Elephas maximus indicus: one gene and its partner. The protein of the gene in region 2 binds, or shares a complex with, the protein of the main gene of each other region. Links are inferred from orthologs where the notes say so. Each region holds a gene or a part of one and is shown on either strand. Other genes may lie near its edges.

What was found. The genes of interacting proteins can lie anywhere in the genome.
Region 1: DRC7 (region 2) and IQCG share a complex: the UniProt entries of both Homo sapiens proteins name them as parts of the nexin-dynein regulatory complex. The link is inferred for Elephas maximus indicus from reciprocal best matches to the Homo sapiens genes DRC7 and DRC9.

The regions. Positions count from the first base shown.
Region 1 is NC_064819.1:17,037,471-17,044,716, reverse strand, and holds the start of IQCG (dynein regulatory complex protein 9), read right to left. Parts: upstream 3,006-7,246; 5' UTR 2,607-3,005; intron 1-2,606. Other genes in the region: RPL35A (60S ribosomal protein L35a), read left to right, coding at 4,050-4,060, 4,263-4,415, 5,691-5,835, 6,412-6,435. UniProt on the Homo sapiens protein: Component of the nexin-dynein regulatory complex (N-DRC), a key regulator of ciliary/flagellar motility which maintains the alignment and integrity of the distal axoneme and regulates microtubule sliding in motile axonemes.
Region 2 is NC_064839.1:24,569,674-24,577,053, reverse strand, and holds the start of DRC7 (dynein regulatory complex subunit 7), read right to left. Parts: upstream 3,012-7,380; 5' UTR 2,938-3,011; exon of another isoform or gene 2,743-2,937; intron 1-2,742. Other genes in the region: ADGRG3 (adhesion G protein-coupled receptor G3), read right to left, coding at 3,743-3,849, 4,909-5,183, 6,270-6,363, 6,570-6,850. UniProt on the Homo sapiens protein: Component of the nexin-dynein regulatory complex (N-DRC) a key regulator of ciliary/flagellar motility which maintains the alignment and integrity of the distal axoneme and regulates microtubule sliding in motile axonemes.

The DNA of each region.
Region 1 (7,246 bases), on a different chromosome or scaffold from region 2:
AAGGGCTGTTTTCAGTGTGACTTTGTCCACAATAAAGTGGTCCCAGGGAGGGGGGTAGTACAAATATGTCTCACTTGATAAACATCTTATATATAAAACTTCAATCATATAAAACAGAATCTTTGTGTAAAGTGACAAAAGATGCTCCAAAAGAGCCGAATTTTCTGGAGCAGGGGCAGTCCTAGGAAGAGGTAGCAGGGTGTTATGCGTAATTTTGTTCTGTGGTTACGCAGTTGTTTCTTTCTTTTTTTCATTTTTTAGGCTTGAGGCATAGGTAGACTGTGCTTTGTGCAGATAAGATATGGCTGTGCTTCCCTAGAATGTACACACACACACACCCATTTAGTTACTATGTGTGATAAAACCCATTGCCATCGAGTCATTCTGACTCAAAGCGACTCTATAGGACAGAGTAGAACTGCTCCACAGGGTTTCCAAGGAGCACCTGTGGGATTTGAACTGCTGACTTCTTGGTTAGCAGCCATAGCTCTTAACCACTACGGCACCAGGGTTTCCCTATGTGTGATACATCCTGATATTTTCTATTCTATCATTTTTTAAAGATTTATTTTATTTTAGTGAAAATATACACAGCAAAGTCTACACCATTTCAACAAATTCTACATGCACAATTCAATGATATCGTCTACCATCTTCAAGTTGTATAACTGTTCTCACTCTCCTTTTCCAAATTATTCCACCACCATTAACATAAACTCAAGGCCCGCTAACCTTTCGAGATGCTGTTGTCGATTTGATCCCGTAGAGATAAATCTTTGAAAGAACACAATGCGCAACGCAGACATGCTTTACTAATTAAGCTAAACTTGTTTGATTCAAAGCAGACTTCAGGGGGAAGTATTGGTTTGAGGTCTGAGGTTTAGATTATCTCAGGGCAATAGTTTTGGGTGTTGGTTCAGCTTCAGTGGCACCAGAAGGTCTAGACTCCACTGTATTCCATCATATTTTGTTTAAACGAGTATTTCGCTTTCAATGGACTAATGGAGTATCACTTGCATTTTGAAAAATGCCTTAGACGACACTTTCCCAAGTAGCCTTCCCCTGACACACCAGGCTGGATCAGGATTCTTCTGTTCAAGGGCTCACAGAACCCTCCTCAGAATCTGTAATGTTTATGTCCGTTTCCCCCACCCCACGAAAGCAGGAAACGTGACAGCAATGCTCACGACTGTATCCTGTGTCTGCACTGTGCTCGGTACATAAGTGTTTGTGGAGTGAACGAATGAACAAATAAATGAAACTCACACTGAATGTGTTATTCCTCCCAGCAGTGCTTACTTTTGGAACTTCATGGAATTCAATTTCTTGGACAGAGAAAATCTGATGGGAGAGTGAGGTACAGAAACCCTACCCTGATGTATTTAAGAGAGAATCTGATTTTATATGTGACCTCTATACAACTACTTTATAAAAACCTTGGAGTCATTCCTTACTCTTCTCCCTCTCACTCTTCATCCATCATCAAAGCCTGTCGGTTTTACATTTAAAATACATTCAGAATTCCAATACCTGCCATCCCTGTCTACACACCATCATCTTCCAAAAGGATCATGACAACAGCCTCCTAACTGATCTCCTTGCTGGTGCCCTTGCCTCCCTTAAGGCAGATAGTCACTCCTCTGTACGGAAAGCCGCAGTGATTAGGAGCTCCGCGCCTCACTGAAAGGTTAGGGGTTTGAATCCATCAGCAGCTCTGCCAGAAAAGGATGTGGCAGTGTGCTTCCATAAACATTACAGCCTTGGAAACCCTATGAGACAGTTCTACTCTGTCTTACAGAGTCGCTATGAGTGGGAATCGACTCCATGGCAGCCGATTTTGTTTTCTGTATGGAAACCTCAAATGGCTTCCCATCTCAGAGTAAAAGCCTCCTTTGCACTGGCCGCCTTGCTTTTTTTTTTTTCCTCCATATATGTTAACACCTCCTAATTTGTCATATGGAAACCCTGGTGGCGCAGTGGTTATAGTTACAGCCGCTAACCGAAACGTTGGCAGTTGGAATCCACCACCTTGGAAGCCCTATGGGGGCAGCTCTACTCTGTCCCGTAGGATCGCTATGCATCGAAATCGACTCGACGGCAACGGGTTTGGTTTCAACGGGTAATGTGCCATATATTTTACTTGCTTTATTGTCTGGCTCCTCCTACTAGGATGCAAGCTCCATGAAGGCAGTGATTTCTGCTTTCGTTTGTTTACAAAAGTATTTTCAGGGTCTAAAACAATGCTTGGCATATTGCAGTCATTCAATGAAATATTTGCTGAATAAATGAAAGAATCCACAGGGCAATCCAAATAAACTCTCAATAATTAGGAAATGTAAATCTCTGACGTCCACTAACCCATCTCTTTCTAGTCTACCAGTGTCTACTGAGGGCCTTTTACGGGTGTACACGGTGCAGGGCACGCTCAGTTTGTCTGACAGCTGAAGGGGTCTTCCTAAAAAGGTGATAGGTCTTCTCAGGGCAGTCCTCCTTACCCTCGGGGTCAAAGCGAAGGACGGAGGAAAGAATTTAAGTCATTTCTTGAAAGGTGTAAAGGACTAGGGAGAAGACAGGAGGAATTACAAACAGGGAAAGAAAGGAACGACCTCTCCTGCCTTTGCGCTCCCGGCCTTTCTCTTCCAGGCGAGGGTAGGATCCGAAAGTGAGTCTCCGTGCGCTTACTCCTGTGTGGTGGAAAGGAAAGATGCTCCCACGTTCGCGAACCAATTCTGCGGTGTCCAAGGCGGGGAGAAGTCCTTCAGTCCGGCTTCTACTTTTCCACCTACAGCACCCTAGGAAGCCGGTACCAAGCTAGGGTGTTTCTATGGCAACGCACAGCTTGGGGGACCTTTTCTTCTCCCCCATTAGCTGGCTACCACTTTGCCTCCCTCTGCTCCCAAATAACGCATGCTGCAGCCTATAAAGATGAAAGAACTTTGGCAAAGAATTGTAAAAGTGCTCTTGGATGTAGGCTGCGTCAGTCCGAAGACGATTCCTGACGCTTGTTTTTCTGGCGGACGCGGAAGATGCCTACTTGGGGGCAGGGAAGAGAGGTGTTTATCCCACAAGGCAACGCGGCGGGTCTTGGTTTTCCTTTTTCCGCCATCTTGGAGCCTGTAGAGGTGAGGGAAGCTTCAGCTGCTGAAGTTTGGGAGCAAAATAGCTGGGGTGGGCTCATCCATATGCTTCGCGAGGCACCGGTGCAGCTTGGGGACCCTGGTAGTCAGTGGATTTTAAGGATTCCAGCGAGAGGGAGGGCAGGATGGCAGAGATGCGGGGTTGATGGTGCTGGTTCCCTGACGTCCGGGGAACGGGTCCTGTAATAGGAGTAGATTCCGGGCCAGAGCGGAGTGAAATAGGTGCACTTCGTTTGGCTACAGGTGCCGATTTAAGGCAGTGGGTCCTTTAGGTTGGGTTCAAGTCCGTTTTCTGTTCGGATACGGTCCTCGATAAGTCTTTATTTTTCCTGAGTTTTTGTCTGTTGGTCATGACATGATTTTTCCCAGGGCTTCCTGTTGAAATTTCTAGGAGTTCGTCAAGTATATATTTTTGCCACCTTACTTTTTCTTTATAGGAGCTAACCAAAAGGTTGGCGGTTGGAACCCACCGGCCCCTGCACGGGAGTAAGATGTGGCAATTAGTTTCTGTAAAGATTACAGCCTTGGAAATCCTATGGGACAGTTCTGTCCTGTATGAGTCGGAATCGACTTGACGGCAGTGGGTGTGTTTTTTTTTTTATTTCGTGAAGGGTATATTTTTGCCACTTCGGATTTTCTTTGGCCTCTGCATTTTTTCCCTTTACTTTGGAGTTTCCTTACATATCAGAGGCTTTCTGTGAGGCTTGGTTGCCTTAACAGACCTTTCATGTAAATGTTATGGCATAATTAATGTTTTCTTTTACTATTATATGAAATGTCAATCAAAAACGAATTTGTCTAATGTGCTTGAGAAACGAGGGGGCACTTGGTGGGAAAGTTGTGTTGCCAGGTTGTGAACTGAGTCTTTTTTGTTTAAGGCCTGCTGGGAACAGGACTTCGAAACCGGCAAATATGTCTGGAAGGTATGAGCTTTAAATATAATTGCTTCGTATATGTAGTCTTTTGTTGAACATGAACCTAAATGTGAGTTTAAAAAGACCAGAAAAATTAGATATTTGCTGTAGGTAACTTGGGTTGGGGGCCAAATTATACCGGTGGTTTGTTGAGGTTTGACAACATCTTTTAAGAGTTTACCGTTAATGTTACATATTTTGTGTATCTTAGGTTGTGGTCCAAGGCCATTTTTGCTGGCTATAAACGGGGTCTCCGGAACCAGAGGGAGCACACAGCTCTTCTGAAAATTGAAGGTGTTTATGCCCGAGACGAAACCGAATTCTATTTAGGCAAGAGATGTGCCTATGTGTACAAAGCAAAGAAGTAAGTTTATAATATTGCTGTGCTTTTCAATTTTTAATTAAGATCTGCCTCATTTTTCTGTTGAAAGAAAAATAAAACATAGATGTTGATAAAACAATTGATTCTACTGTGGCTTCTTTTGAAGTCTTTAAGGAATTCATGGGATGTTGTAGAAGGACGTTATTTTTGTGGATGGTCTTGGATTTCAGTTACTTCACCATGTAGAGAAATTACAGCTGTTCTTGTTTCAAGGAAGAAGCTAATTCCTGATAGTGTGATGCTCATATGGGTTTATAGAGCGCTTTCCATGTACCTTAATTCATTTAGTTGATTTCCTAAAATTATATGTTTTATACATGTTGAAAGATGTTACATGTCCAGAGCAGTGGTTCTTAATCCTGGATTCTTAATCCACCTCAGGCCAGTTAAGATCTCTGGGGACATACTTCATCCTGGTCCACTGCCACAGCTAGAGTGATCCTTTAAAATTATCAGACAGATCACATGTACATTGCTCAGACTCATCTCATTCAGCAAAAGCCAGAGTCCTTAAGGGGTGTCTAAGACCCTTTGCAATCAGGCCCCGTATTTCCTTTCTGATCCTAGGTAGGATTCAACTCCTCTCCCTCCAATCTCTTTTCTGTTTTCCGGCAAATCAAGCAAACTCTCTTCTCAGATTTTTAACCTGTCACTGTGAATCAGAATTGACTCAACAGCAACAGGTTTTTTTTATTTTGGGGGTTTGGTTGCCTCTGGAATGGTCTTTACCAGATACGTGTATGGCTTGTTCCCTCACCAGGTCCTTTATTCCATCGTCACCTCAGTGAAACCTTCTGTGACTACTTGAAATTGGAAGCAGTTCTTCCCTCTCACTACATGGAAACATCCAGTTGTTAGCCCCCTTTGTTTTTTTTTTCTCCTATATTGCAGCTATTATCATCTCATGTTCCACATATTTTACTTGTTTATTATTGTGTTAAGCCTGTAAAAAGGGCTTTTGTAAACTGTAGCATGCCTTGCCTTTACAAAAGCCCCTGGTGTACAGTAAAAAAACAAAACCAAACTCTTTGCTGTCGAGTTGATTCCGACTGATAACGACCCTAATAGGATGGAGGAGTAGAACTGCTCCACAGCGTTTCAAGGAGTACCTGGTGAATTCAAACTGTTGGTATTTCGGTTACCAGTTGAACTCTTAACCACTGCGCCACCAAAGAGGGAACAGTGTGTAGCCGATAAACGTGTAAACTTTACTGGTATTCTGAGTTCTCGTGCACTTTCCACTTCTCTTTAAATCAGCAACACAGTGACTCCTGGCGGCAAACCTAACAAAACCAGAGTAATCTGGGGAAAGGTAACTCGGGCCCATGGAAACAGTGGCATGGTTCGTGCCAAATTCCGAAGCAACCTTCCTGCTAAGGCCATTGGACACAGGATCCGTGTGGTAAGTAAAATTATTACCAAACTAGCCCTCTATGTAGTCAAACTGTGTTCAAGGGGTTGGGATTTGATCTCTAAGGTCCATTCTGGTACTGTGATCCTGCTTAGTACTGTGTTACCTGTAGATTAGGCTGCCAAACTAGTGGCCACAGTTTAAGTGGTAACTATTACAGAACATCTGACTGTTAAACCAAAAAAGGTGAAGGCAGAGTGTTCAAATGGATTGTGCTTAGATTGCAGAGTTTAGTAAAGCTGCCTGGGGAAAAAATAGCATTTAATAATTTTCCTCAAAGATGTTTATTGGCCACTGAAGTAGGTGTTAGAAAATAAATTCACATCTTTTTTCTGGGATAATTCTTAATATTTTCCCATCCCTTCATCCTCAATATCAGTGTTATTAGAAGAATAGCCTTATTTAATAGATGAAGAAAGTTGGTATTTTTCCTAGGCCCAAGACTCTGGGCCAAGTAAGTTATGAGAAAATGGGAAGGGATTTGTCCACATTGTGGTACTAGTTTTTTTATAACATTTGTGAATTTACATGTAGTCACCTAATGCTCTTGTGTTCTTTTCCCCCCAGATGCTGTACCCCTCAAGGATTTAAACTTACTAAGAAGTAAATAAATAAAATGGTGGCTTTGTTACTTGTTCTCTTATATTTTTGTTAAATGGTTTAAACGCTTTCCTCTAAATTAAATTGCTATATGCTTAAAATGGACATTGAAATAAAGGACTATTGGAGTCGACTAATTTCACAGGGAAATTGTAGTGCTATATGTCAGTGGAATTACAGAAACTTAGAAGACAACTCCTCTGGGGGGTCTTAATGAGAAGAGGATAGGGTGGGAGTACCTGAATACAAAGCCTGACACAGATGGGAGATATGGAGGCTTTGGTTGGATAGTGGAAAAGAGTACCTTGAAAGTTTTTTACGGTGATGGAGCATCTGAACTCAGCCTTTGAATAACTTTTTGAAGAATGGAAAAACACTGTATTCCAGGAAGCACATAAACTTGGGGGTGGAGGTTTGGAGTGGCAGTTGTAGTCAAGTGGATTCCGATCCATGGGACCCTGTGTATGTCAGAGTAGGATTGTGTTCCATAGAATTTTCGGTGGCTGATCTTCTTGGAAGTAGACTTAACCGCCAGGCCTTTCTTCCACTCCCCAGGGGCTCCCTGGTTTACTATATGTACTGGTAACTGTTCAGTTCATTAGGTTGAGTCAGTTAATGAAGCTTAAATTTATTTTCATGACCTCTTAAAAGCACTTGTAGTAAGCGCCTGTTTACTGTAGGCTGCTTGGTGAAATTGTGACTTTTGGGAATTGGGAGGGATATGGAGATAATATTGAAAGGTTTTGGCAGTTGTTTCAGATAGGCTGAGATGAGATATCCTTGGGTTTTGTGACAGCAAAGT
Region 2 (7,380 bases):
AGTGGTCTTGCCTATTCCTGCACAGATTGCCACCGTGGCCTTGTAATGTCTTCATATCTGGAGGCAAGTCTTCCTTCTAAGCCCTTCTTTCATTAAGGTTGACTTAGCTCTTTGAGGACTACATGCCTCCATATAAACCACAGAATAAATTTTTTGAGAGTCTATAAAATAAAATCAACTGGAATCTTTATTGTAATTTCATTGAATTAATAAATTCTCTGTGAGGGGGGTTTATATTTTAATATTAAGTTGTCTATCTGAGAGCACAGAGTAAATACATCTTATTTCCTTGTATATTTTATATTATAATGAAAAAATACTAGAAATGAAGAAACTTGGGCAGAACAGAGAGAACAGGCAGGGTGCCGAGGTGAAGAGGACACTCCCTGTGGCACCTGGAGCACCACGGGACCCTAAGACCTTATAAGGTGATGATCAGGACAAAGCCTGGCTTAGCCACACACATGCCCACTGGTCTCTAATTTAATCCTTCATCAACCCTTTGGGCAGCTACTGTTATCCCTACTTTAAAACAAAAAACTATTGCCATCAAGTTGGTTCTAAATCACGGTGACCCTGTGTGTGTCAGACTATAGGGTTTTCAGTGGCTGGTTTTTCAGAATTAGACTGCCAGGCCTTTCTTTTGAGGCACCTCTGGTTGGACTTGAACTTCCAATCTTTTGGCTAGCAGCTGCTAGTTAACCATTTGCACCATCCAGGTACTCCTACTTTACAGGCTGAGGAAGGTGAGGAATTTGCCCCAGGCAAGTTGCAGAAGCAGAATTTGGACCAGGCAGGCAGACCTCAGGGTCTGCACTCTCACCCTCAGTGCCATCCCACCTCCTGGGCTGTGTTTGTTACCCTTCAATGGTTGGGAACCCTGTCCATCTACTCTAGGCCTTGGGATATGTTTTTGCCACAACTCCTCTTGGCCTCAGCACAGTGTCCAGCTTGACCCTCAGAGCCACAGTTTGTAGAGACCCCAGGTGATAAGGGACCCTAGCCCCTCAGCCCCTGCCTGGACCTAGGGTGGAGAACCAGCTAGAACAGGAGCACACCCCAAAGTTGGCTACATCTCCCCATCTGTACCAGGAAATGAGCCCATTCCGGCCTGCGATTTGGTTAGCCCCACATACTGGTGAGCATGTCTGAGAAAGCCACAGGCCAGGGTTTCCCTTGAGACTAGGAGGTCAGGGACAAGACGATAATTCTTGAATCCAGGGAATGCCCTGGGAGGAGGTGTCAGCAGCTCGGGAAGCGCCTGTTGTTGTTGTTGTGTGCCATCGTGTTGATTCTGACTCATAGTGACCCTGTAGGGCAGAGAGGAACTACCTTATAGGGTTTCCAAGGCTGTAATCTTTACGGAAGCAAACTGCCAGGTCTTTTCTCCTGTAGAGTGGCTGGTAAGTTTGAACCACTCACCTTTTGGTTAGCAGCTGAGTGCTTAACCATTGCACCATCAGGGCTCCCTAGGGCACCTAGCCCTAGCTTCAGCCCAACTTGCCGAGTGGCTCTGGGCAGGTTGCTGGGCCTCTCTGGGGCTCCAGTTCCTTGTCCCAGTGCAGAGCTGGTCTGTTGGCAGAGTTATAGAGGAAATCTGGAAGGGACCTTTAACCTCACGCTCTTATTTTACATCTAGGCTGCGGAGGGTCATGATTTGCTTTTCATGAAGGTTCTGCTTGGTTTTTCTTTAACCAAGGAGGCCTTGGAGAGTCAGCCTACTCCTACTGTCAGGCACTTTACTGTTGTCGTCTCAATGCTCTCTGGACAAGATGAGGACGTTCTATGATCCCCATTTTACAGAGGGGAAAACTGAGGCTTGGGGAGGTGAGGTGACATTCTCAGGGTAACAAACCCTAAGTAGCAGAACCAAGATTTGAACTCAGGCCTGTCTGACCCTGGAACAGCTGTTCCTTTTGAGCACAGGTTGCTAACTCTGAGACTTTGATGTCAGGGCACCTAGCCCTCCCCTTGAAAAACAGATGTCTATGAAGATAAGTCTGAAACCTAGCAAGTTTGTCCACAAAAACTGATAATGAGGCTCAACAGATGCAGTGTGCACACCTCAGGATTTCCCTTCCAGGAACACAGTGAATTGCATAAAGCCTTCCTGTCTGTTTGCAGGGTGGGAGGAGGGGGAAGCAAGGGCTTCTGGGAGCACCACCTCCATTCCTGTCAGACATCAGCACCAGCACCTGGGAGGGGGAGGCAGCTGGTAGCTCACACAGCTTTGGGGCTGTGAGGGAGGGTCTAGTAATAATAACTTCTCTCCTGTGTAAGGCACTTGGCAGTGTCCAAAGCACATTGGAAAAGTTAGAGGTTGTGTGGGAGGGTGAGATTTCCCACGGCACTTAGTAAGTTAAGGCTAGAGTTAAGGCTAATGGGGTCGGGAACTTGTGAGGTGGGACCTGAGGAGGGAATTGACATCAATGCTCGCCACCCTCGGATTGGGGCAGGCCAGGGGGCTGCCTCCTCTCTCTGTCTCTGTTCTCTCTCAGTGTTAGCCTGTCTGCTAATTCTCTCTCTCTCTCTTTCTATCTCTCTCTCTTTCTATCTCTCTCTCTCTCTCTACCTCTACCTCTACGATCTCTATCTCTTTTTGTTTCCTACCAGAGAAACCAAAATGCAATGGAGACATGGAGGGACAGCCACGAGGAAAAACAACAAACCCAAATTGATCTGGCCTGAGAAACACTTCCTGGCTCAGGGCCCTGTCAGGTTGGAGCCAAACCTGCACATGGATTCGTTCAACTGACAAATATTTATTCTGGGCCTGAACTGCACCAGGCCCTGAGCTCAGGCTGGGCGGAAACAGTGAGGAGGCAGTCATGGTTCCTGCTCCACTGGAGTTCCAATTCTGGTGGAAATGCCAAGCCTGCTCCCCCACCCTCAGCCCCCTGACCCACACACTGAACAGACAGGAGCAAAAATGCTCACCCCTCAGGTGTGCAGTATGCATGTGACAGTCTGGCCACTCCCAAAAGACTGCAGATCCGAGGTCCAGCTGCCCGCCTGGCAGTCAGAGTGGAGACTCAGACTTGCTTGAGGTGTCATACCCACTGAGTCTGTGACGTTCTCTGAAGCCATGTCCCCAGACATCTTGAAGGCTGGCAGCCCCTGAATGGTAGAGGCTCTTCAGGGAGGATGGACCCAGGTGGGACTGCAGAAACCAGGGCTGTGCTGGGTAGGAGGATCAACCCCCCACCTAAAAAGTTCAGCCAACAACTCCTCCAATGCCTGAGGGGACAATGACCTCCTGGAAACCTCCCCTCACAGGTACAAGCAGCCAGAAGTTGGAGTCTGAGAGGGAAGTGACAGGGGTAAGGGGAGAGGCTGGGGCTCCTTCAAGGGTCTGTGCCTACAAGAGACTCTCCTATTTAAGCTTAGGCTGTTCCTGAGACCAGAGGGTGGGTAAGGGCAAAGAATGGCTGCTTTGCTACCAAGGTGAGCAGGAGAGGGAGGGGAGGCATCACTGTATGCTGGGAGGGGGCCCAGGATTATGAGCGCGTTAACCTTCTGCATTCCTGGATTCATGAACTCTCAGAACCACAGATGCGTCTGGATGGGACCTTTGAGGCCACGTGGTCCAACCTGGTCTCCATCTCCCCTCCTCAGCCACAGTGTGCAGAGAAGGAGACTGTGGCCCAGAGAGAAGCAGGGACTGACCCAAGGTTACCCAGTAAGTCAGAGTTGAGTCCAGAGCTCAGGGCTCAGCTCCCAGCCTAGCCACTTGGCAGCCTCTTTATCCATGAGACACCGAGTGGGTCTGGTCGGCTTGGGTAGTTGCAGATGAGGAGGCACTCTGACTAGGGAAGTAGAGGACAGCGAACCAGCCAAAGATGAAGATGCCTGGGGGTGAAAAGGGGTAGCAGTGAGCTTGTGGGTGGGGACATGCAGGGAGGGGGGCTATTTAAAAACTGCTTAAAAGACATTAGGGAAAAAATCAGGGAAAAATGAAACCTATTTCTAGAAAAGAACCAAATAGAAATTTTGGAAATTAAAAATAGGGTCTCTGACCAGAACTAGATGGTGCTCGGCTACCACCAAGGACCTCCCTGACAGGGAACACGACGGAGAGTCCCTGATGGAACAGGAGAAAAGTGGAATACAGACCTCAAATTCTAGTAAAAAGACCAGACTCGATGGTCTGACTGAGACTGGAGGGACCCCAGAAGACATGGCCCCCAGACTCTCTGTTAGCCCAGAATTAAAACCATTCCCGAAGCCACCTCTTCAGACAAAAATTAGGCTGGACTACAAGACATGAAATGATACTGGTGAGGGGTGTGCTTCTTAGCTCAAGTAGACACATGAGACTAAATGGGCAGCTCCTGTCCAGAGGCAAGATGAGAAGGCAGAAGGGGACAGGAGCTGGTTGAGTAGAAACGGGGAATACAGGCTGGAGTGAAGAAGTGTGCTGTCACATTGTAGGGAGAGTGACTAGGGTCACATAACGATGTGTGTATAAGTTTTTGTACGAGAAACTGATTTGAATTGTGAACTTTCACTTAAATCACAATAAAAAAAAGAGTAAAAATATAGGATCTCTGAAATAAAAAAAAAAAGCTTAACAGTCAAGATAACTCTAAAAACAAAAAAACCTGTTGCTGTCGAGTTGATGCCAACTCATAGGGACACTATAGGACAGAGTAGAACTGCCCCATAGGGTTTCGAAGGAGTCGCTGGTAGATTTGAACTGCTGACCTTTTGGTTAGCAGCTGAGCTCTTAACCACTGCTCCACCAGGGCTCCAAGATAACTAGATGGGATAAACTGAGAGACAGCAGGGATTTGGAAGATAGTGCTAAGGAATTACACTAGAATCCAGCACAGAAAGCTCCTGTGTGTGTATGTGCGCGCGCGCGTGCATTCGTGTGTGTGTGTGTGTGTGTGTGTACAGGTGCCTCACCTTGCAGGGAGTTGAGCACTGCGAAGATATAAATGGTGAACAGGCCCAGGGGTGTGAGGATAGCCAGCCCCCACGTCATGCCCATCAGGCTAGAGAGGCCCAGCACAGTGAGAACCCCCTTCCAGTTCAGCCCCTGTTCCTTGCCCGCTGTGATACTTGACAGAGTGAAGATCTTCCAGGCCACCAGGCCGAGGACCATGGCACTAAAGAGGAAAGTGATAAGAAAGTAGCCATGGACGGTGACATACAGGGCAGTCGTCTCACGAAACCAGCACCTGGAGGAAGAGGATGGCCGTTGGGACAAGGAGAGGAGAGCGTTGCCCAGCAAGCCCCCAGGAAGTCTCCCCTGACTGACCTTTGAAGACCAAAATGTCTTCCCCTATCTCCACCCACCTACCCCGCTTTCCTCCTGGGGCAGGTGCTCAAGGGCCTCTTTAGACCGTGTGTGCAAAAGGGCCAATTTGGCCCCAAAGGCATGTTTCATATGCTCCACATATATTGTAAAAAAAAAAAAAAATTGAATTAATAGCTATCCTCTAAAAAACAGGTTTGGCATAAATATCCAGATGTCAGCTTCTCTTGTAAAACCCTACATCTGGCAGCTCCAAACGGCCTCCTGAAGACTCAGTGAGTAGGTACATGGTTGCCATTCCACCACAGTTCCCATCCAGCCCCTTTGGCCCCTGATGTGATACTCTGGGGCCAGGCCCAAGGCCCTGCTGGCCCTTTCCAGCTCTGTGCTGGCTGTGGGCTCAGGGGTGGGCACCATGAGAATGCCAGGGCAGGAGTCTGAAGGCTCAGCTCAGCTCCACTTTGTACTGCAAGGACAAAAGGCTCTAAAAGAGCATGTTGATCATCCCCATGGTACAGATGAGGAAACTGAAGCTTGCCCTGAGGGGCTTGGCCAAGGTCACACAATACGTCAAGAGTACAGCCTGGACTAGGACCAGGGCTGCTACAAGTGGTTGGGCAGGTTGTGCACTGTACAATGGGTGGAGGGGGCAGTTGGGAGCTGAAATCCAGCATGTCCTCCACTTACCAGGTTAAGCGTCTGGTGGGGCACATTTTTCAATTTGCCCAAAGGCGCTGTATGGGCTAGTGGCAGCCCAGGCTAGAGCCCAGTATTCTGCCTCCTGGCTCAGTTCTCTTTCCCCCTTTTCAGCTCCCCTCTCTCATTTTCCTTCCTCTCTCCAGGCCTCAATTTACCCCTGCATGCCATGAGCTAGCTGGGTCTGAAGATTTTTCTGGCCTCATCACACTGAATCTCTCGTCCTAGGACTCCCTCCATTCCCCCTCCCTCCGGCTCCGATATGTGAAGCCTGGAACCTGGTATCAGCCCTGCTCCCCCAGCCGCCACTCACAGCTCCAGCATGGTACGGTTTTCCTTGTCCTGGATTGTGTAGCGGCCATAGCTGTTGGTACTCCCGGTGCCAATGACCACCAGGGCAGGGAGGCCTGGGAGCAAGGGGAGGAGTTAAGGCATTGCAGCCTCCCTGGGCATGCCCTCCTCCAGAACCCCTCCAGCTGCCCATTCCTTGAACCCTGAGCCTGTCTGACAGCTCCTCTCTCCCCAGGGAAATGCCCCTAGCCGGCCCCCCAGGGCCTGGCTGGAGGGAATGTCCACCCCATCCATCTCCTCTGACAATCCAGATAGCACCTACCCCAGCCCACCAGGCTCAGCTTCAGGAAGTAGTGCCCGAAGTAGGTGTTGAAGACCTTGATGACAAGCAGATAGAGGTGGAAGGCTTCCAGGCCCATCCAGGTGAAGGTACAGAGCAGAAAGTAGTGGAAGACAGCTCCCCTAGCCCAGCAGGCAGCATTGGAGCCCTGCGAGCCATTCACCACAGTGATGAGGAAAGCTAAATTCAGGAGGAACAGGCTGACACTCAGGGCCACATGGATCTTGGGGGTATCTTCTGACTTGAACCTCTGCCGGAAGAACCTGGGCCAAGAAGGGCCAGTGAAAGGCACAAGGGGCCACAACTCTCATGGGGCACCCAGGCCTTTCCACCCCACCTCCTCTGTTCCACCATGAGCCCTTGGCTCTTCGCCTGATCTTCCAGCTTCCATTCCTGCCCAGCAGCCAGTTTGTAATGCACTCAGGTTCAAGTTCAGGACCTCTCTCATGGCCCACAGGACCCTACAGGTTCCAGGTCCTGCCGGCCTCACCCCTTGGCTTGATGCTTTACCCAAACTGTATACCTTGTAATTCCCTGAACACCTTCTGTTTTTCATACCTCCTGGACTTCACCCACGCTCTTCACTCTGCTCTCAATGCCTGTCCCTGCCTCTCAGGCCCTCCCAACTTCTTTGCCTGCTGACTCCTCCTCCACCTTCAGAACTCCCCTTAGACTTTTCCTTCTGAGGAGGCTGACTCTGAAGGCCCCTCGTTGTTGTTGTTGGGTGCCATTGAGTCCATTTCAACTGATAGCGATTCTGTGTGACAGAGTCATAGGAGTTTCTTGGCTGTAA